Arabidopsis thaliana: one gene and its partners. The protein of the gene in region 1 interacts with the protein of each later gene in a biochemical or structural test. Each region holds a gene or a part of one and is shown in the gene's direction. Other genes may lie near its edges.

Region 1 (5,808 bases):
GCTATGAAAGGTCATGCATTGTCTGCATACAATGAAATACACTGTCTCCATACACAGCTTAATGCAATTAAGAAGTGTGCTTTTACTGTGTTCTGTATGTTAGAAGCTAGTTATGTATTATTGAGCAGAAAACGTTTAATAAATGGGGATTAAAATAGGAGATGCTTTCTACCAGGTTTGCTTCTGATTTCGTTTCACTTGACTTGGGTGTTTGTTTGAGTTCAGGCCAGATACTCGGCACATATTCATGGATGTAGGCCTCGGCTTTTATGTGGAGTTCACACGGCAAGAAGCTCTTGACTATATAGCACAAAGGGAGGAAAGAACTCAAAAGTAAGAGAAATCTTTGCTTTTCTAGTTTTCTTGCTCCATGTACAAGGAAAATATGGTTGTATCATTGTATATGATGAATGAGTTCTCCGGTGGAATGCAGTATAGTGACTGAATGTTGATGCAATATAAATGTGGTTTTTTTTGTTTTTAACAGACAACTAGAAGAGTATACTGGTGTTATTACGCAGATCAAAGGGCGCATCAAACTGGTAAGTTCAAGTTCTTATCTTGCTTTGTGATAGTAGTCAATCATTTGTCTTATGAGGTTGAATTGGACTAGAAAATCACTATTGCGTAGGAACCCTGCATCAGACGGATATATGAAAGTGTCATCGGATAAGTATTAATGTTAAATTACCATTGCAGGCTCATTACCAGATTCAGCAAATACTCAATCTTCCTGAAGAGAATCCGTCATCCCGGCAACGTGCGTTTTAGTACACTACCTAGTGGAAAGTTGAGGATTTTCTCTTGCAGTCTTATCTTCTCGATTTGTTCTGCTTACTGTTTTGAGTTTTTAAAGCAGAGAATTAACTTAGTTTGTTCAATACTAACTCTTTCTCCGGAATGGACCAAACTGTTGGTGTTAGATAAACATATCGATTAAGCAATCAAAACTTTATAGAATGACTATTGTTGTGGGGGTGAATAGTGAATCGCACTCTGTTAAATCTGCCATTTCTATTTTAAATATTAATAATCACATGTTAGAACTTAGAAGATCATTAACAGTTTAACACAGCTGATGAAGAATGAAATAAAAGTATGAACGAAACAGATACAAGATAATGATATTCCACGTCAGCAAAGTGTCCAAATATCTTCCGCTTCCCTGTCTTCGTCGGTCCCTTTTCGGTTTTCACGGTAAGGCTCGGAGGAAAACCTAATTCGTCCGGAGAATCTCCACCTCACTCTCGCCAAACGCATCTCTGTTGTAGGTAAGTCACGGATCTTCATTCTACGCTAATTGTTATTGTTATCGTTATTCTTGATCTGGGCGTTTTTGTGGAATTTGCATCTAAAATTAGAAATTTGGATACCAAAATCCACTCCAATTGAATAAGGTTTCTGAAGAATTTTCGTTTGATTTTGAGATCGAAAATTGCGTTTTCTCGTTTTTGTTTTGTTATCGCTAACGCATCAGGTCATATATCTCAAGTTTATATTTTGTGGCAGCTTGTGATGGATCCAACACAGAACACAAGTGCAGGGATTGGTGGGAGCAATGGTACAATCAGATATCAAACCAATGATGGGACTTCAACTGTGACCGTTGCTGATGATTCAAAGGAGAATCTTTCCCAAGTCATAAACTCTATTGAGAAAACTTTAGGAGTCCTTCATCAGTTACACCTTACCGTCACTTCTTTCACACCCGCGTCTCAACTCCATCTCCTCCAGCGCCTGTAAGTAACTCCTCTACTCATCTGTGTTTATTGTTTTGGGTATTGTAACTATTGTTTGAATGAATATGTGTGTGTGTGTGTATTTGCAGTAACTCTCTTGTGATGGAGCTAGATAACATGACTAAGTTGTCTGAGAAATGCAACATTCAAATCCCCATGGAGGTTCTTAAGTGAGAAAACAAGTCCTTTTTGTTTTTAGTATGCACTTTGAAGATAGATACTTTTACTTGCTTACTTATGTTTGCGTTTTCGTATAGCTTGATTGATGATGGGAAGAACCCGGATGAGTTTACGAAAGATGTTCTTAATAGCTGCATAGCTAGAAATCAAGTTACTAAGGGCAAGACTGATGCTTTTAAGGTGACTCCTTTTCTTCTGATTCTTAATTTGTGTATGATTCTTAAGGTTACTGAGTCTCTTAATCAACATTTTGTTATAAATAGGATTTGAGAAAACATATTCTGGAGGAGCTTGAACAGAATTTCCCTGATGAAGTCGATATGTATAGAGAAATCCGTGCTAGTTCTGCTGCTGTAAGTTGTTAACTTCGACTAGTATTGTACATCTTCATTAATATATTATAGTAAGTCAAGGGGATTAAACAGTTTTGGTCATATTCAGGAAGCGAAACGGTTGGCGCAATCGCAAAGTGTGTTACCAAATGGGGATGCAAAGGTCAAGAATGAGCTATAAGAGCCCAAAGGATCCTTTTTATGTTTACCTTGTACTCTTGTAGAATATAATGACTGAGTCGATGAATGTGATGTAACACGAACAATCCCAAGTGGAATTTCTAATAATATCTGTTGGTTCTCTTCACCTGGCTAATATAGTTTGAGAATCTCTGCTTGTTCCCCCCATTTTTACTCGAGTGGACTATCTTACTCTTAGCCTCTGAGATCTCTTTGATTTCATGAGACTATCAAAGAATCCCACATAGTTACGCAAAACAGATTCGACTTCTATCAATGGATTTGTCTATTTCCTGGACGAGTAATCTTGGTTCTGCATAAAATGTACACTATTTCCGAGAGCTGAAAAAGTGAGAAAAGACACTTAGATTTCAATCTTAATTAACGGTTTGATTCGGTTTGGTTTGTCTCACCTACATTTGCATCGATTGCAGCATGGGGGACTTAATACGCAGTGGCTGACACGTGTCAATATAAAACGCACCGCTTTGTTTGATTGTTCCTCCTTGTCCCCGAGCAGAGAAATACAAAGGAAGAAGAAGAAGAGTTGTTTGATTATCTTTAAGCAAAGAGGAAACTGTTTTGCTTCTAGATCCGATCCAATCCAATCAAACAAAGGATCCGATTGATCAGAAAAAATCCACCAAATTTCTCAAGATCGAAACATATAATTGAAGATGAGCGACGTATTTGAAGGGTACGAGCGTCAATACTGCGAGCTCTCAACCAATCTCTCTAGAAAATGTCACTCTGCATCGGTTCTCTCCAACGGAGGTAAAATCCAGACGCTCCCGATTTCGGATCTTGAACGCGAGATCTTCGAATTTACCTGATTTTAGAAATTCGAATCTTCGAATTTGGGGTTATTGGAGCTTTTGAGCTGTGACAAGTAGCTGGTGGACTAGTGTTCTTTACTAATCGTCCTGACTTGTTTAGGATCTGACGAAGTTTTGTAACATTTAGGAATGTTGAGACATAGGATCTGTTTCTCATTGCTTGGATTAGAAGACGATAACCTAGTTAGGTCTAGATAGTTATGTAGTTGCATAGATTTATTAACTTGTTTCTCAATCTATTTCATCTAATTTTGTCCGAATTTGGGGGTATTTGTAAAGTAGAGGTGCATGAGTGTTTACTAATCGTTTTAGCTTGTTTACGATCTGACGAGTTCTGTAGTATCTGGGAATGTAATTTACTTGGATTGGTCAAGTAGTTTTGTGAAGAAATTAAGACTGAAGATAAGATCATAAGAACCTAGTTATGTAGCTGCAGAGGTTTATTGAGTTGGTGTTTTTTTTCATTTGTTTGTCAGTCTATGGTTACCACTGTCTTTCTTGGAGTTATAGTACATAGACATGCATGGAGTTGTTACATTTTGTGGTGCCATAGAACCAGAGTAGAGGTTTGATTAGATATTGTTGTGTGCTTTTATAGAGGAGAAGAAGGGGAAGATTGCTGAGATCAAGTCTGGAATAGACGAAGCTGATGTCTTGGTATTTGCATTTAACTTGCTTTAATGTTGTTACCGTTCTGTTCTTTCTTTTTTAAAATTAATATATATGCTTCTGTGGTTTTTTTGTAGATCCGGAAAATGGATCTTGAGGCAAGAAGTTTGCAGCCGAGTGCTAAAGCTGTGTGTCTTTCTAAACTAAGAGAGTATAAATCTGATCTGAACCAATTGAAGAAGGAATTCAAACGAGTCTCTTCCGCAGATGCTAAGCCGTCTTCCCGTGAAGAGTTGATGGAATCCGGAATGGCGGATCTGCATGCAGTAAGCTTCTAACTCCTAAATAGAAACTCTTGTTTTCTCATTATCTTAGTTGTCTTAATTGACTTGCATCAGTTAGGCTTCTTTGTCCTGAGGGGACCCTCCTTTATATTCATCTTCACACAAACTTTTAGATGGCAAAGACTTTGCTGTGATTTACATTATTGTCCATGTTCCAGGTATCTGCTGATCAAAGAGGAAGATTGGCAATGTCCGTGGAGAGGCTTGACCAATCAAGTGACAGAATCAGGGAGAGTAGAAGACTAATGCTGGAGACAGAAGAGGTTGGCATCTCAATTGTCCAAGATTTGAGTCAGCAACGCCAAACCCTCCTTCATGCGCACAACAAGGTACCGTCTACAATTGCTCGGTTTGGTATCTATCAGTGCCAATGATTTGTTTGAATTAGATCATTGAGAAGCTAACTTTTCTGATTTTGAATCACAGCTTCATGGTGTGGATGACGCCATTGACAAGAGCAAGAAGGTGTTGACGGCTATGTCAAGGAGAATGACTAGGAACAAATGGATCATTACATCGGTAATCGTGGCTCTCGTTCTCGCCATCATCTTGATCATCTCATACAAGCTTTCTCATTAATATACTCAAAAAACATTATTCATCGTGATTGTGTATATATATATGATGGTTGATTTACTTTGTAATGGCCCAAGTGGTTACTTGTATTTTTAAGTACGATGTTTGTATTGAAGTGGCAACACTTTTAACATTCATAAGGTTTCCCAAGTCTTTTCTTTTTTGTCTTTTTTTCCAAAAAAGTGGTACTATTTTATATAAAGCAGATGTTTCAAAAGTTACAACTGTGGAAACTTCCACTTACATCTCAAGTCCAACCTTTGAAAACTTACAACAATGTAATTCCAAAAAGAACAAACACTCCATTGCTCAAAACATAAGGTTTTCCAAGTCTTTACATGAGCCAAAGATCTATACTTATAATGTTTTAAGAAAACTAGGACACCTGACACATCCTTGCCGGACCAATCATCTTGCCGTGATCACCAGTCGCAGGCAGGAGACCCACTGTCACGTCAGAGCATGAAACAAAGGCCTCTCCTTCTATCTCTCTATTTAAAATAACATCAAACATTCACGACACCAAAAAATACACACAAGCCAAACATAACAAGTAAAACTATCCCCGAAACAAATAGTTTTATGCAGTCCCGGCCCGTCCATAACGCAGCTAGAGCATGTGTTTCTGTCGTGAATTATGTTTTCTATGATCTCAGCCCCTGTTATGTTTTAAACCACACGTTCTGGTCTTCAAACTCGTTAACCCATTCCACCCTATAAATCCCTTCTTCGTAAGCAGGGATAGATTGACGAGTGATTGAAAATAATCTTTAATGATCAAGAATTTCCTCCCATTCGCCGGAAATAATTCACTTAACCACCAAATGAAAGAGTTTTGAGATTAATTAATCTACTCTTTAAAATTTTAGGCATATACACTTGATTGATGTGATGACAAAATGATTTGAGTACTAATCAAGTACAATCACTACAAAAAAAATGTGTGTTTTTACATCATTTATTTTATATATTTTTATTAGTTATAAACTTATAATTGATGGCAAGAAAAACA
Region 2 (6,328 bases), on another chromosome or scaffold:
CCTCTGCTGAAAGAGACTGCTTCTCAACATTCCTGTATAAGACAGATCAAGACAAGAACCATCATAACAAACTCTGCAATTTGCATTTCTACAACAACAACAAAAAAAACACTCAGATCACAAGAGCTTTTAGGTTATTGGTAAAACAAGGGATCAACTAAATTCCATTAAGGCTCATAAAAACTAAGGATGAGTAATATGCGATGACTTAACAAGAATGATCAAGAAATCAATGAGGATATCATCCAGAAGTGTAATCCAAATGAGAATGTGGAAGCATACCTTTCAGGCAAACTCTGATTCAATGTTTTCTTGGCAGAACTTGTGTCTGCACATAGACTTGACTCAGAAATGAAAAAGTCATCAGCCATTGGTGAAATGAATGAAGACAGTAAAGGATCAGCAGCTATACTGGCAGAAGAAGAGGATACAGCACGTGATGTTCCTTCAAATAGGCTCTGAAAATTTCCATCAGGAAACTCTCTCTTCAAGATCGATAGCATGGATTGAGCCCCGCCTCTTCTTGATTTCCTTTTCCGCGTCACGTAATATTTTGTTAAGGAATGTAACTGTTAGAGATAAAATCTTTATTATGATAGTAGAAAAGATAGAACAATAAAGCAACAAGAGTATAAACTCAATAGAATCCTCCAAAGCTCTCAATTGCTTGGTTAGGTTTCACAAACAAAACCTAACCCTTACTTCTAACAGAACATAAATAAAAGACTCTAGGAAAAGTAAATCCTAAACTATTTCCTAAATCATAAATCAGGAAGTATTCATATCATTAACACAACTCATTGGAAGAATCAGATAAGTACATGATCGTTAAAAATATAACTGGTAGAGAGAGCAAAAAGGATATCTTGAACATATTTGCATGTTGTAGGGTTATATGAGCAATCATATCAGAGCTCACTTTCACCGCACAAATGGGACATACCTACAAGATTAACAATGTCAAAACGCAGAATTGAAAACAAATCTTGCTATTGTAGCAATAAACAAGTGTCCTAGAGTTGATTTCTTCTCTGAGGAACACTGAGTGGCAATTCCAAATACTATTTCGACGCATTTCATTAGGTTACTTTCACTTTCTTTATATCCAAGACCAGTAACTACTAAACATAGAACAGTGCTCTTACCAAGAATGATATGATGAAACAATAAATAGATTTTGATTCAAAACGAGAGAAAGGTAACATTGAGGAAATATCTACCCCATTTTTTGCATCCATAGGATGATCTTCATCAATGTGACAGCATAGAGAGACGATATCAAAATAGTCTGAACAGAACGGGCAAGCATACTCCTCCCTGAAGTCATCTTCTCCTTCTATCTCCTCAAACCCCAAGAAATTGTCTGCGTTTTTCAAAAATGAAGAAACTAGTCAAACACGGCCAAGAGAACATTCGAAAATGTGACAACTACAAAACAAAAGCCTAGAAAATAAAATGACAACTACAAAACAAAAGCCTAGAAAATAAAATGGGAAATACTAAAAACGCGTTCCATTCTCGAAGTTCCAATACAAATGGGTTTCAGAAGAAACATCAAAGATATCTAAATAAACGAATGGAAACTAGTAGATCATAAAACCTTCCCTGGCAAAGACGTCTAAGTTTGAGATGAAACTAAAGCTTTTAAAAACGTTTTTACCAACAAGAAGTTTTGTATTTACTTGTAAGTCAAACAAGAATCATCAAGATTCCAGCTTTTGACATTAAGTTCATACCAAAACCTAGAAACAAAACACACACGCTTAATCAATCCCTAAAGCCTCACATTAGTAAAATGCCTCAAAAGACAGAATTTATTTCCTCCATTTTCCTTAAATTCAATATCAGCAAAACAAACATTTGAACAATCACCATTTCAAATATTCAGAACAAGACACAATCAATGTCTTGTCCCATTTTGTTCGGAAAACCAGAACAGTAACAAAAATGTCAATCTCTTACAGTCAATCTCGATCCTTGATCAATTCAAAAGAAAACAAATTTGAGGTCTAAATATCATTGATATTTTTGCAATAGAATCAAGATTAAATTTAAGACAAAACCAATCAAATCTCAAATTAAGAAAGAACAAATCCAAGTTATAATTTTTATCAAACTCACCAGATCGAGACAAGAAATCGAGCTGATATCTTCTTGAAGCCGATGCGAGACGATCACTCCAAGAATCAGAATCCATTTTTTCTACGAAGATTATTACAAATCGAAACCAAAGAATCCACTTTTTCAACAACAACAACAAAAAATCAAATAAATTCCAAGAATCCGAATTGATCTTGAGTCCGGATAAAACAAAAACAGAGATATTCCGATTCAAGAATCAAAAGATTCCGACGAAATGCAAAGACGAAGACGACGACGACGATTTTGCGTCTTTTTTTTCTGGAATTCGTCTTTTTATCTTCTTTTTTTATTATGGTTTTTAATTCTTTGGATATAGAGAGAGAGAGAGAGTGAAAGACATAGAAGAGATGAGTTCTATTACATGTATTAAATTGTTTTTTAACAGCCCGCACGAATGCATGCCGTTTAAACCTTTTACCCGCCGTGTTTTTCCCTTTTGGAATATCAAAACGTCATGCTGTTAGTACGACGCTTACGTGTCGAAATATTATTGGTTTGTATTTGGTAAGCTGGTGAAACAGGACAAAGTTAGCCGCGCAACTGTTTTTTAACTTTTTTTTTTACTGTTTCCAAAGTTTTAAGTTTTGGGGAAATAGTGAAAAGTGAAAACCTCAATTTGCAAATCTGAGAGTTTACTTTCCTCATCGGAAAAAGTTTTGATCTCGCCGCTCTCCGAGCACTTCCTTGTCGGAGTCCCAATTTTTGTGTTCGGTTTTATTCTCGGTCGATGATGAAGCCGCGATTGTGTTCAGATCGGAGCTGATTTCGAATTTGGATGTGAAATTGAGATTCTAGGGATTTCAAATTTTGACGATCATGGCGACGAGGAATCGTACGTTGCTGTTTAGGAAGTACAGAAACTCTCTGAGAAGCGTCAGAGCTCCATTGTCGTCATCTTCATTGACGGGAACACGATCCGGCGGCGTTGGTCCGGTGATCGAGATGGCGAGTACTTCGTTATTGAATCCGAATCGCTCTTACGCTCCTATTAGTACCGAAGATCCTGGAACTTCTAGGTACTCTTCTCTCTCTTTATCAGTGAAAATGGTGAACAATTTGATCAATTAGGGTTAACTGGAAATGATTAGCTTAGCAATGAGAATGATAATACATCATTGATAGTGTAGTTGAAGTAAATGTCTGTGAGCTACGTTAAGCTGAGAGTTAGTAGTTACTGAGATATTTTTGGTCATGTTTTAGTAAAGGTGCGATAACAGTGGGCTTACCACCAGCTTGGGTTGATGTCTCTGAGGAGATATCTGTGAATATACAGCGTGCAAGGACTAAAATGGCTGAGTTGGGAAAGGCTCATGCCAAGGCGTTAATGCCATCGTTTGGGGATGGTAAAGAAGATCAACATAATATTGAGTCTTTGACACAGGAGATAACTTTTCTATTGAAGAAGTCTGAGAAGCAACTTCAGAGGCTTTCTGCTTCAGGGCCTTCTGAAGATTCAAATGTTAGGAAAAATGTGCAGGTAGTTTTGACTTGATGGAAGCTGCTCTTAACACATTTCCTTTCTTTTTGCTGCATTTGCCATTGCTATCTAAGATTTATCATGTGTGTTTAATAACAGCGGTCTCTTGCCACTGACCTCCAACTTCTTTCTATGGAGCTTCGCAAAAAACAGTCAACATATTTGAAACGCTTGAGGCAGCAAAAAGAGGTATGAAACTATTATCTATTTTAGTGTAATTGGCATTTCTTATACCGGAAACTATGTGATGTTGCAGTGTCTCATTCTTTGAAGTTTTTGTTTGCTTTCTGCTCCTCCGCCTCAAATGAAACTTCTTTACATCGATTTCATAGATGATAGATTCTTTTAGTACTTGTTTTTTCAGAGTATATTATTCTGTCCTCTCAAGAAGCTTTGACTTGAAATGTATTATCATTTATCAGGATGGGATGGATTTAGAGATGAATCTGAGCAGAAACAGATATAGACCTGAAGAGGATGACTTTGGCGATATGGTTTGACTCCTATACCTGTTTCATTCTATCGATTTAAAGCAATCATTCGTCTTATGTCTTCTTTATTGATGGAATTTTTTCTCGATTCCTTTTTAGTTAAACGAGCATCAGATGTCAAAGATAAAAAAGAGTGAAGAAGTATCTGTAGAGAGGGAGAAAGAGATACAACAGGCAAGTGCTTGCACTACGTCTTTGTTCTTAGTTGTTTGTAGCTCACCAACGTTTTTTTTTTTCTTTTGCAATCAATCATAATCTTTTTTCTTCTTCGTTGTCTGTGTCATTGTCCAGGTTGTAGAATCAGTAAACGATCTTGCTCAAATTATGAAGGATCTTTCTGCACTTGTGATAGATCAGGTTAAACTTATTTAATCCCATATTCTCTTTGTCTAGCTTTTGAGTCTTCTTCCTTTCGAAAAACAAACTCAAAGCAACCCGTTTAATTGCAGGGTACAATAGTTGATCGGATAGACTATAATATCGAAAACGTCGCTACTACTGTTGAAGATGGTCTCAAACAACTACAGAAGGTAAAAATAGTGTTCTCTCTTCAACATTAATGTCCAACTATTTGTTTGTCCCAATTCTAAATGAAGTGGATCGCATAAAAAAACTTCACAGGCAGAGCGAACGCAGAGACATGGAGGTATGGTGAAGTGCGCATCCGTGCTTGTCATCCTCTGTTTCATCATGCTGCTACTCTTAATCCTCAAGGAAATATTCTTGTGATCGGATACTATAATCCCTGGTTAGATCAATAAGAAAAGTTCGATCCTTAACTATTTCATTCTTTAGCCCCGAACATCGCATGTTTTCCTTCAGGGCTTTTGGTTTCAACTTCTTTGCATTTAACAATACTAAGATCCTTTGCAGAGTAGTTAGTACGTAATATTATTGTGTAGAAGAAGACCATAGATAGTCAGAGGTCGATGTCTGAGGAGTTGAGAGATCTGTGCACCAACGCCAAAATACTCTCTTCACGCTAAAGTCAAGTGTTCTTTTAAAATGTATAAGATTCCAGTCATAGTTGTTGGAACTTGTTTTTGACAAAATGGTTTTGACCATTGTAACTTGTGGATTTTCCGGTGAAGACGTTCATTGGAGTGACCAGATTTCGGGCAAGATGGAATCGTAGCTGCGAGCACTACATGGTGGAGTATTCAAATGTGAAAACGAGTTTGTTTGAAATCTTTTACTTTCCGGTTATTGTATCTTCGCATAAATTACAAATTCTCAACATTCTAGTTCTTTTAAAAACATATATCATTTACAAATGTATAAATATTTTTCACTTGAAACAATGAAAACTTTATACACGTTTTTGTGATGAGTTAATATGAATTAAATTACATCTCAAGTTCTCAACTCTAGTTTGAAATTGGTCATGCCAAATAGCCTAATTGAACTTGTATTGTTATTGTGTCATTATCATGGTTCAAACCCATATTATAATCATACTGTTGACAAAAATTATAATTTTAATATTAAATTTGTGTTATTATTTTTGTAGATAATTAGCTGGAGGGTTTTTAAAAGAAAAATATAAAAAAAAAATTAAATAATGATTATATCAGCGCTTAAAAAAGATAGTATTATCCTGGATAGCACATTATTTTTTTTATCTGTTTCTAATGATTCTTTAAATTACCTTTAAATATAATAAATTACATATCTAAGAATTTTTTAAAATTTATGATAATATTTTATCTTTTTTAAATGTAGCATGTATATAATAAATTTAAAACTTATATTATATATAGTGCTTCAATAAAATCCTTGAACATGTATAACCAAAAAAAAACCTCAAACAACATGTGCATGGATGTTTACCAATTATCATTTAAAATATAGTTATCTTATTTACAATGGATGTTTACCAATTATTGGTTATATATTTATTTACAAAAATAAAATGAAAAAAAGTAGTTGATGGTTTTAGTCTTTTTTTCGCAATAGGGATAATTTTATTGTTTAAGTCAAATATTACATGGATTATGAAATACCCCAGAACAAAAAAGCTACAGAAACATATTAGGCCCAACTAAAGCCCAACAGAGAAACCGTCTATGGAAGAAGAAATATTATCTTTTGTCTCTATCCAAAGCCACGTGTCTTCTGCTGGAGAGAAACCAATACACGTACTGGATGAGAATCCAAAGTTTTCCCGACTTCATCCTTCGCCGTCAAACATCGACTCCGGTGAAGATTCAACGTCGAT
Region 3 (8,949 bases), on another chromosome or scaffold:
ATATTTGTAGTTTCTAAGTTTATGACTTTGGAAAAATTAGGAACGTTCTGGCACCACATTGTAATATGCATGATCGGAAATTTTGTGGTCCTCTTGCCATAATTTTCGCGCACCAACAAGTGTTTTTATAGATTTCGTGTAATCGTTTATTTTTGAAATATTTTATAGCTTTCTGTTGACTGTATATTTGTGATTTATACGCAATTCTTTAACATATACAGAAACAGAATGTCGGTAAATAAAAAAGAAATTATATAATCGAAAATGATTGTGGTAGATGTCATCGTGATTAACATAGCTTAACTAGCATCGAATAGCAGCATGTAATTTAAAAATGTTTCATTGAAATATATGTGTGATTTTCAATCAGAATTAGTTTGGCTTTATTTCAATCTGGTGGTTGGAGATTAGTTTTCTCACACAGTGGAAATTTCCTGATCTATTATCTTGTTTATTATAAAACTAAGAAAACCAATAATTGCCAGCTAATAGCAAAATTAAAAAAAAACTATAGGAAAAAAATAACGAAGATATAGAATTAGTCCCTAAAGAACAAAGCCCACCTCCAACGACTACTTTTTTCACTATAAAAACAACTCTTTTCCATGCAGAAACACAATCAATCACTTCTTCTTCATCTTTCCTCAAAAATAAAAACATTTTCTCCAATTTGTTCTTCTTTAATAATTTGGAGAAAAAAAGTCTTAGCTAAGACTGAACATTATCCGGTGAAGAATGGCGACTCCGGCATGGAGTCATGCCAAGGCTCAATGGGTAGTCGCCATGTTGGCGTTACTCGTTGGCTCGGCTATGGCTACCGAACCTTATTACTATAGCTCTCCTCCACCACCGTATGAGTATAAATCTCCACCTCCTCCGGTTAAATCTCCTCCACCGCCTTATGAATATAAATCACCACCACCTCCGGTTAAGTCTCCTCCACCACCGTATTACTATCATTCACCGCCGCCGCCAGTGAAATCCCCTCCCCCTCCTTATGTTTACAGCTCTCCTCCTCCTCCGGTGAAGTCCCCTCCTCCCCCATACTACTACCATTCACCGCCTCCTCCGGTGAAGTCTCCTCCTCCTCCATACTACTACCATTCACCACCTCCTCCGGTGAAATCCCCACCACCACCATATTACTACCATTCACCACCTCCTCCGGTGAAATCCCCACCACCACCATACTACTACCATTCACCTCCTCCTCCTGTGAAATCTCCTCCTCCTCCATATTATTACCACTCCCCACCTCCTCCGGTGAAATCCCCACCACCACCATACCTTTACAGCTCTCCACCACCACCGGTAAAATCTCCCCCACCTCCTGTCTACATCTACGCTTCTCCCCCACCTCCCACACATTACTAGGCTCATCAAATTCAACAAAATTTCCCCATTATTCAAGTAAGTCCTATACTTATACCTTTACCTCATAATCCGTTTTAATAATTGTGCCCTAAATAAAATCGGAATTTCTTCTTTCACAGGTTTTCTTTTAAAAAATGAAATAAAGGAAGGGTCAAAGTCAAAGAGAAGAAGAAGTGAACCAAATAAGGATCGTGGCGTGGAAATCAGAAACAAAACATCTCTAACAACGATCCACATCACTTCCTCTTCTTCAATGTCGCTCATCTTCCACTTGTGCATCATTATCTTTGCGTCTTCGTCAAGTCAAATTGTTTCCAAGACCCTTTTAGATCGTATCATACTCCTCTTTGTTCCCTTTTGTTGTTAAGTGAAAAAATGGGTTTTGGTAATTTAATTGTTGTGCATACATTTTCTATTTTGTTATTCTTCCGTTAATGTAATGAAAGAGTTGTTAGCATATAAAACAAAGTTCAGTTTCTTCTTTCTTTGGATTATGCGATATACAGTCATAACATTTTCTATCTTAAAACATAGTTCCAACGACAAAAGTAGTTCCAATGACAAAGTTAAAAGACATATTCTTTTAGGTTGGGCACGACATTGTTTCGATCTGTTCGTCCAGAGAAAGTTATCATTGCTTCAAAAGGTGGGAAAGTGGAAGTAACACATCACTTTGATCTCATTGGATCATTAATAATTGTGTTTATGTAATACGTCAGAGACTCACTTTCATTCAACTAATTTCCACCTACTCTTTTTGTTTCAACCTTAAAAAAAAAAAATATTGAGCAATACTATATGCTTAATACAAAACCATTGACTAAAATTAAAGAATGTTGAAATGAATTAATATCAAAGTTATAGTTTATATTCTTCTATTTAATCGAAACATGGAACCAAACAAAAGCAAATGAAAAGCAGCAAGTGCTGAAGAATTGGTTCGAAATAAGTGGAGTGGTTGTACTTTGGGCTTTGGGATAGCATTAGCTGATTTTGAGGCCCATTGGCTAAACGTATTTGGTAATTTGCCTCCAATTTTTTTGTCACCGTCATTTTGTTTGTTGTTTGGCAACGACACCTTCCAAACTTTATCGTTATGCTTAAGTTGATTTTGATAAATTAATTTGATAATGATGAAGTGAAATTCAATGAAGCTAATAAACACAATTTTGATAAATTAATTTGATTTCAACAGTACTGAAATATATAGTATTAGGTCTAGTAGCTTCCAACTCCACTAGACATAAAGCAATTTTGTCCCAACAAAAGTTTTGGAATAAAGCATATTGTATCTTCTCATTTCCAAACTGTATATGAGAATAGAAACTTTATAAAACTGGTTAGACCAAAGTAATAATTATGTTGTTCTCAATTAAACAGCTGTGATTTTTCAAATCCAAACATTATATTGATTTGGAGCGCCTTAATAATATTCTCCGTGTTTAGTTGCGCTGTCTTATTTGTATTATTCTTTTTTTTTTTCACTATTTCATTTTTATTTATTTATTTTATCTGTTGAATTTTCTCTTCTGGCTGCTGTTTTCCTCTCTCTCTCTCTCTAAACTCGAGAATTTTTGTAGAGAGAGGAGGCAAAGTGCGAAAGCTAAACGCAGATCCACGATCAATCTCCTCCACCTTCAAAAGCCTTCAAAAGTGTTTCTTCTTCGTCTTCTTCCTTTTATTATCTGTGCCTTGACAGATCCACGATCCGATTCTGGTCAAATTTTACATTTCTGCAGGTACGATCTTAGCTCTTTTTGTTCTTTCATGTTCATTATTCTTTTTCTGGATCTATTGTTTCCATTTTTAAATTTCCGGTTGATTTTTTTATCTTGTTCGATGTGATTCTATTTTGTGGAGGGATGTTATTAGCTTTAAGATCTGTGTGAGCTGCGTTTTTGAATGTGAATCTTCCTTTTTATTCGATTTTGATTGTTACCGTTTGAATTTTTAGTCTGCTTAGGAGTCGGATTTTGTTGATTTTGACTTCTTCTTTATATCCTTTAATTGTTGCAAAATTCGGAAATTTTGTTACGAGCTGGGGATTTTTTCCACTTCCTTGAGATTGTTTTAGGGTGAATCTGAACAAAGACAAATTCGATCATTGCTGATTGCTTTGTTGCCGTTCCTCAATTCCATGTATCTGGCTCTTACGATTGTGTAATTGAAATGAGATTATGATGAAGAATGATTCGTTTGTTTCTTTTTGTTCTATCTATACATTTGTGGTGATATATATATATATCTTTGTTTGAAACGTTAATAGATAAGCTGCTCATACTAGTTATACAACAGACTCCATAGAAGGTGACATTTGTTTAAGATACTCTTGTTCCTGGAACACATACGAAGATGAAGAAAGTCTTCGGACAAACTGTTAGAGACCTGTAAGTATTTTCGTACCCGAAATTTAATGATATTCTCAATCTGTGTGTGGTTTATTTCTTTTTTCATTGACGGGATGCTTCATTTTATGTTCCATTTATTCAGTAAGAGAGAGGTCAACAAGAAAGTGCTCAAAGTTCCTGGAGTAGAACAGAAGGTAATGGATGCTCTTAGCTTCTTCTCTCTTTTTCTTCTTATCAGAAATTCTTCCGCAGCAGAGATTTAGATACTGTTTTCCATTTTTATGCTTGAGTTTATCAATTTCTTTATTTGTTTCTAAAAGGCTTTTATAAATAGAGAGCTTATCTTGGTTGCATTCATCGTCTTGCTAAACAATGTAAAGCGAGATATCCAACTTTCTCTTATCTTGTTTTGTCTGTGCTTTCTCTTATTCAGGTTCTAGATGCTACTAGTAATGAGCCATGGGGTCCACATGGATCACTTCTTGCTGATCTTGCGCAAGCTTCCAGAAATTAGTAACTACGACCACCTTCCAACTTGCTATATTTTGCTGCGATTTTGGACATTGCACAGGAATTATAAAAACATGTTACTTCTATTTCAGTCATGAATATCAGCTGATCATGGTGGTCATATGGAAACGCCTTAGCGACACCGGAAAAAACTGGCGGCATGTCTATAAGGTAAACAATATTATTGTCTTGCTGGCTTAATTTGTGTTGAATTTCTGTAGCAGTGACTAAAGTATTTCATGCTGTTTACCTCTTCTCTCTCCCCTTCAGGCTTTGACAGTTTTGGAGTACATGGTAGGCCATGGATCAGAACGTGTTATAGACGAGATTAGAGAACGTGCATATCAAATTTCGGTAATGACTACCTTGAGTACATTATTTTGGAAGTATTCAACATCAAGAGAATCCTTTAGTGCTATATCTCAGTAGTTGACTATCTTACTTGTATATATGTCTATTTTCCTTGTGGCAGACATTGTCCGATTTTCAGTATATTGATTCCGGTGGTAGAGATCAAGGAAGCAATGTTAGGAAGAAATCACAGAGCCTGGTGGCTTTGGTGAATGACAAGGAAAGAATAGCTGAAGTCAGACAGAAGGCTGCTGCTAATAGAGATAAGTAAGTTTGCTTGTCATTGTATCTTTCTGGAACTGGTGGATAGTTTTCTCTCTGTGTGAGTCTCGGTGGACACTCGTTTGATTTCTTGTTGCTAGTGGCTTACAATTGTTATTATGCTTCTCGGTAGTCTATTAATTGGTAGTACTGGCACTTTAACTGTATTAGCTTCTGAATTTTGAAAGTTTTTATCTCGAGAAAAAAAAATGACATGTCTTTTGGTTCATTCAAAATATGCTGAACATATCAACCTACATTATTTTACAACAGGTATCGCAGCTCAGCACCAGGTGGGATGTATAAGCCTTCAGGCGGATATGGGGATAAATATGATTACGGAAGCCGGGATGAAGAGCGAAGTAGTTATGGAAGAGAAAGAGAATATGGTTACAGAGATGATGATAGAAATAGTCGTGATGGAGATCGTCATTCCAGGGACTCTGAAGACCGGTATGGGAGAGATGGTAATAGGGATGATGATTACAGGGGAAGGAGCAGAAGTGTTGATAACTATGGGTCACGAGGTAGGAGTTCGGAAAGAGAGCGGGAGGATGATGGCCATTCTTCATCACGGTATGTTAAATTTCAAGTCGCCTAAATCCTGAAATAAAAAAGGAAGGGGAAAATTTTGAAGATTATCAACTCCATTTGGATAGAATATTTTTATTTTGAATACTAGCGTAGATGTCCTTGATTTTAAAAATCATTTCGAACCGCAATCTTCTTAGTCTAGTTCCATTTTCAAATTTTAAATGGATACACTCCTTTTTGTCCTGTAGGGGCAGTGGTGCTCGAGCTGATGATAATTCTCAGGATGGGAGGTAATTTCTGATAAATTTCTACTGAAGTTTAGGCATTCTTTTATTGTATGACAACTCATCTCACCTTCTTTCGGGATTATAATGGTAGAGGGGGGCTCCAGAGGAAGTTTTCTGAACAAAATATTGGCGCTCCACCCAGTTATGAAGAAGCTGTCAGTGATTCACGCAGCCCTGTATATAGTGAAAGGTGATCATTTTCTGCTTTGAAAATTGAAAGCTACCTTGGTTTTTATTGGTGCTGATGAATCTTTCTATGCCAGGGATGGTGGGGAGACCCCACAAGTTACCGCTCCAGGAGCTGCTTCTCCTCCTCCCCCACAAGTTGCTGCTCCAGAGGCTGCTTCTCCTCCAACTGGAACCAACACAGCCAATACAACTGCTACTTTTGTTAATGAATCACCTTCTCAGAAAGTTGAGACTTTCGATGAATTTGATCCACGCAGTGCGTTTTCAGGTACAGAATACTCAAACTCTTGCAATTCTTTAGTTGTATCTTGAGATATTTTCTTAGTTTTTCAAACTCCTCGGCAGCATAGAGATTACATGAAAATCTTTAATCAATAACTATAACTAATTCAGTAAATGTTTCAAGGCTTAGTTGGAGGGTGTATGATTGTATTCTCATGTCTGTATGGTATATTTCTATCCCATTAAACTCTGCTTGTTCTGAGTGTGGCCGTTGTGTTCCTTTACTTTTCCAGCTGGCCCTCCAGCATATGCATCTACAGATGGTGTTACAGCTCCTCCAACTGTGACTTCTATGTCTGCCCCTACCACCTCAAACAGTGTTGAGATGGACTTGCTTGGTTCCCTTGCAGACGTATTTTCATCAAACGCATTGGCCATTGTACCAGCTGATTCTATCTATGTTGAAACCAATGGACAAGCAAACGCTGGTCCAGCTCCATCGTTTTCTACATCTCAGCCATCAACTCAGGTATATACACTGAGCTTGGAGTATGAAGATTATGATGGTTTCCTATGATTATTGATGACTGTTGTTTGGATTATGCAGTCATTTGATGACCCATTTGGTGACTCTCCTTTCAAGGCCTTCACTTCTACTGACACCGACTCAACCCCACAGCAGAATTTTGGAGCTTCTTTCCAGCCACCACCTCCAGCCTTCACTTCAGAGGTCTCACATCCTGATACTGCTCATAACTTTGGCTTTGGGGACTCATTTTCCGCCGTTGCCAATCCTGATCCTGCTTCTCAGAATGTGCAACCTCCATCGAACTCACCAGGTTTTCCTCAAGAGCAATTTGCTACATCTCAGAGTGGTATTGATATCCTCGCTGGCATTCTCCCACCATCTGGACCTCCAGTACAATCGGGTCCCTCAATACCAACATCTCAATTTCCTCCCAGTGGAAACAACATGTACGAGGGATTTCATTCTCAGCCGCCGGTATCTACAGCTCCAAACCTGCCTGGACAAACTCCATTTGGACAAGCTGTTCAACCATATAACATGGTTCCTCATTCTCAAAATATGACTGGAGCCATGCCATTTAATAGTGGAGGCTTCATGCACCAGCCGGGCTCACAAACTCCTTACTCTACCCCAAGTGGACCAGCTGGTCAGTTCATGGCACACCAAGGTCATGGAATGCCGCCATCCCATGGTCCACAACGAACTCAATCCGGACCTGTTACTCTGCAAGGGAACAACAATGTCATGGGAGACATGTTCTCGCAAGCTACGCCCAACTCCTTGACGTCATCATCATCTCATCCAGATCTCACACCTTTAACAGGAGCAATTGAGATTGTTCCTCCGCCTCAGAAAAAGTTTGAGCCAAAATCATCAGTCTGGGCAGACACGTTGAGCAGGGGGCTTGTTAACTTTAACATATCTGGATGTAAGATAGATTTCACCATACCATTTAAGGAAAAAAAAACGTCTTTAGCAAACTTTCTAACATTGTTTTTGTTTTTCTACTTATCGCAGCTAAAACAAATCCATTGGCAGACATAGGAGTTGACTTCGAGGCGATCAACAGGAGAGAGAAACGGCTGGAGAAACAAACAAACACACCAGCAACATCGACTATCAATATGGGTAAAGCCATGGGATCAGGCACTGGCTTAGGGCGTTCTGGTGCAACTGCTATGAGACCTCCACCTAATCCAATGACAGGCTCTGGCATGCCCATGGGCGGAGGAATGGGTGTTGGTAGCTACGGAGGTATGAACCAGAACCAACCCATGGGTATGGGTATGGGGGCCGGAATGAACCAAAACCAACCGATGGGTATGGGAATGGGACCCGGCATGAACATGAACATGAACATGGGAGGATATGGCCAAGGCTATCCGATGCAACCACAAAACCCAGGGATGGTACCTAGCCCAAACATGCCTGGCAATAACTACAATCCGATGATGGGTCAAGGTGGTTACAACCCTCAACAATCCTATGGTGGTGGATACCGGTAAGATCAAGCCAAACATGATGCACTTGACTTCATTCGTGTAATCAAGAATACGCTCGCCTGTGCTTTTTCTTTACTCTGGGATATGTAATATCAGTCGATAAAAGTACTCAGGTTACATTATTCATCCAGGCAACACGGCTCCACGAATTTTCTTCTCTGTTTGTTCTTGCCTTACTCGTCACTCATCATTCATTTTTATTTTTTTCTGGTTTGGACCAAATTGAGAGCTTGTTGTGAAATTTGTACCAGTGTGAGAGTGGCAAACCTTGCTCGGGTCTGCCCTTTTTTTGTTATATGCATATAATTTGATATATACACATTCACTTCTATTTCTTTATTTTGAAGATGTGTAATACATTTCTCATTCACGGAACAAATAAAATCTTTACATTTTTGTATTCTCTTTTTAAATGTTTCCCGGCTGTATTTACTTTTTCTTCACTAGGTGTGTGTCATTCTAGAAAGACTTGGATTCTGTCACCTGCAGTGTCTTTAAAATCTAACAAAATTTTCCCTCCGACCTCATCTGCTGCATCGTCCATCAATTGCTTCAAGTTCACGCCTCCTAAAGCTGCGAATTTTTTGAGGATCTGTCAATAACTATGCCTAAGAAAACTGAAACAGAATAAGAGAGACTTAGGAGTTTTTGAATACCTGGAACAATGTTTGTGACACCTTCCAAGAATCCGGCCTGTTCCAACCATAAGACAAGTTTTGCATCAGCTCAGATAAAACACGAAAAATGGCCCTCGAAAGTGGACTTACCGGAATTCTGACATCGAGTTTCTCAAACCCATCGCGTCCGATGATTTTGATCCTCAAAGATCGTGACCAGATCCG

Evidence for each region.
Region 2: the proteins of VTI1B (region 1) and SYP41 form a complex in vitro, tested with the Arabidopsis thaliana proteins (one study listed by BioGRID).
Region 3: the proteins of VTI1B (region 1) and AT2G43160 form a complex in vitro, tested with the Arabidopsis thaliana proteins (one study listed by BioGRID).

Annotation. Positions count from the first base shown.
Region 1 is NC_003070.9:9,212,995-9,218,802, forward strand, and holds VTI1B (Vesicle transport v-SNARE family protein), read left to right. Parts: upstream 1-2,775; 5' UTR 2,776-3,108; coding exon 3,109-3,205; intron 3,206-3,865; coding exon 3,866-3,924; intron 3,925-4,013; coding exon 4,014-4,202; intron 4,203-4,378; coding exon 4,379-4,549; intron 4,550-4,646; coding exon 4,647-4,799; 3' UTR 4,800-5,016; downstream 5,017-5,808. Other genes in the region: AT1G26660 (Prefoldin chaperone subunit family protein), read left to right, coding at 226-333, 488-542, 700-771; AT1G26665 (Mediator complex, subunit Med10), read left to right, coding at 1,516-1,739, 1,829-1,909, 1,997-2,099, 2,183-2,272, 2,361-2,432. UniProt on the Arabidopsis thaliana protein: Together with either SYP41 or SYP61, required for membrane fusion; the fusion of phospholipid vesicles containing SYP41 or SYP61 and VTI12 is triggered by YKT61 and YKT62.
Region 2 is NC_003076.8:9,487,235-9,493,562, reverse strand, and holds SYP41 (syntaxin of plants 41), read left to right. Parts: upstream 1-2,470; 5' UTR 2,471-2,958; coding exon 2,959-3,158; intron 3,159-3,342; coding exon 3,343-3,619; intron 3,620-3,718; coding exon 3,719-3,808; intron 3,809-4,041; coding exon 4,042-4,113; intron 4,114-4,209; coding exon 4,210-4,284; intron 4,285-4,401; coding exon 4,402-4,467; intron 4,468-4,559; coding exon 4,560-4,640; intron 4,641-4,731; coding exon 4,732-4,839; 3' UTR 4,840-5,430; downstream 5,431-6,328. Other genes in the region: AT5G26990 (Drought-responsive family protein), read right to left, coding at 1-32, 283-545, 866-943, 1,221-1,363, 2,122-2,197; AT5G26970 (uncharacterized protein), read left to right, coding at 6,177-6,328. UniProt on the Arabidopsis thaliana protein: Contributes to the regulation of secretory and vacuolar transport pathways in the post-Golgi network, and to the maintenance of the Golgi apparatus and trans-Golgi network (TGN) morphologies. Together with VTI12, required for membrane fusion.
Region 3 is NC_003071.7:17,945,158-17,954,106, forward strand, and holds AT2G43160 (ENTH/VHS family protein), read left to right. Parts: upstream 1-2,642; 5' UTR 2,643-3,113; intron 3,114-3,195; exon of another isoform or gene 3,196-3,513; intron 3,514-3,640; exon of another isoform or gene 3,641-3,669; 5' UTR 3,670-3,726; coding exon 3,727-3,761; intron 3,762-3,864; coding exon 3,865-3,916; intron 3,917-4,155; coding exon 4,156-4,235; intron 4,236-4,324; coding exon 4,325-4,403; intron 4,404-4,502; coding exon 4,503-4,586; intron 4,587-4,704; coding exon 4,705-4,850; intron 4,851-5,117; coding exon 5,118-5,420; intron 5,421-5,626; coding exon 5,627-5,668; intron 5,669-5,756; coding exon 5,757-5,855; intron 5,856-5,928; coding exon 5,929-6,122; intron 6,123-6,369; coding exon 6,370-6,605; intron 6,606-6,683; coding exon 6,684-7,533; intron 7,534-7,622; coding exon 7,623-8,110; 3' UTR 8,111-8,512; downstream 8,513-8,949. Other genes in the region: AT2G43150 (Proline-rich extensin-like family protein), read left to right, coding at 736-1,374; AT2G43180 (Phosphoenolpyruvate carboxylase family protein), read right to left, coding at 8,562-8,680, 8,764-8,800, 8,875-8,949. UniProt on the Arabidopsis thaliana protein: May have a role in transport via clathrin-coated vesicles from the trans-Golgi network to endosomes. Stimulates clathrin assembly. Binds to membranes enriched in phosphatidylinositol 3-phosphate (PtdIns(3)P). Plays an important role in protein trafficking.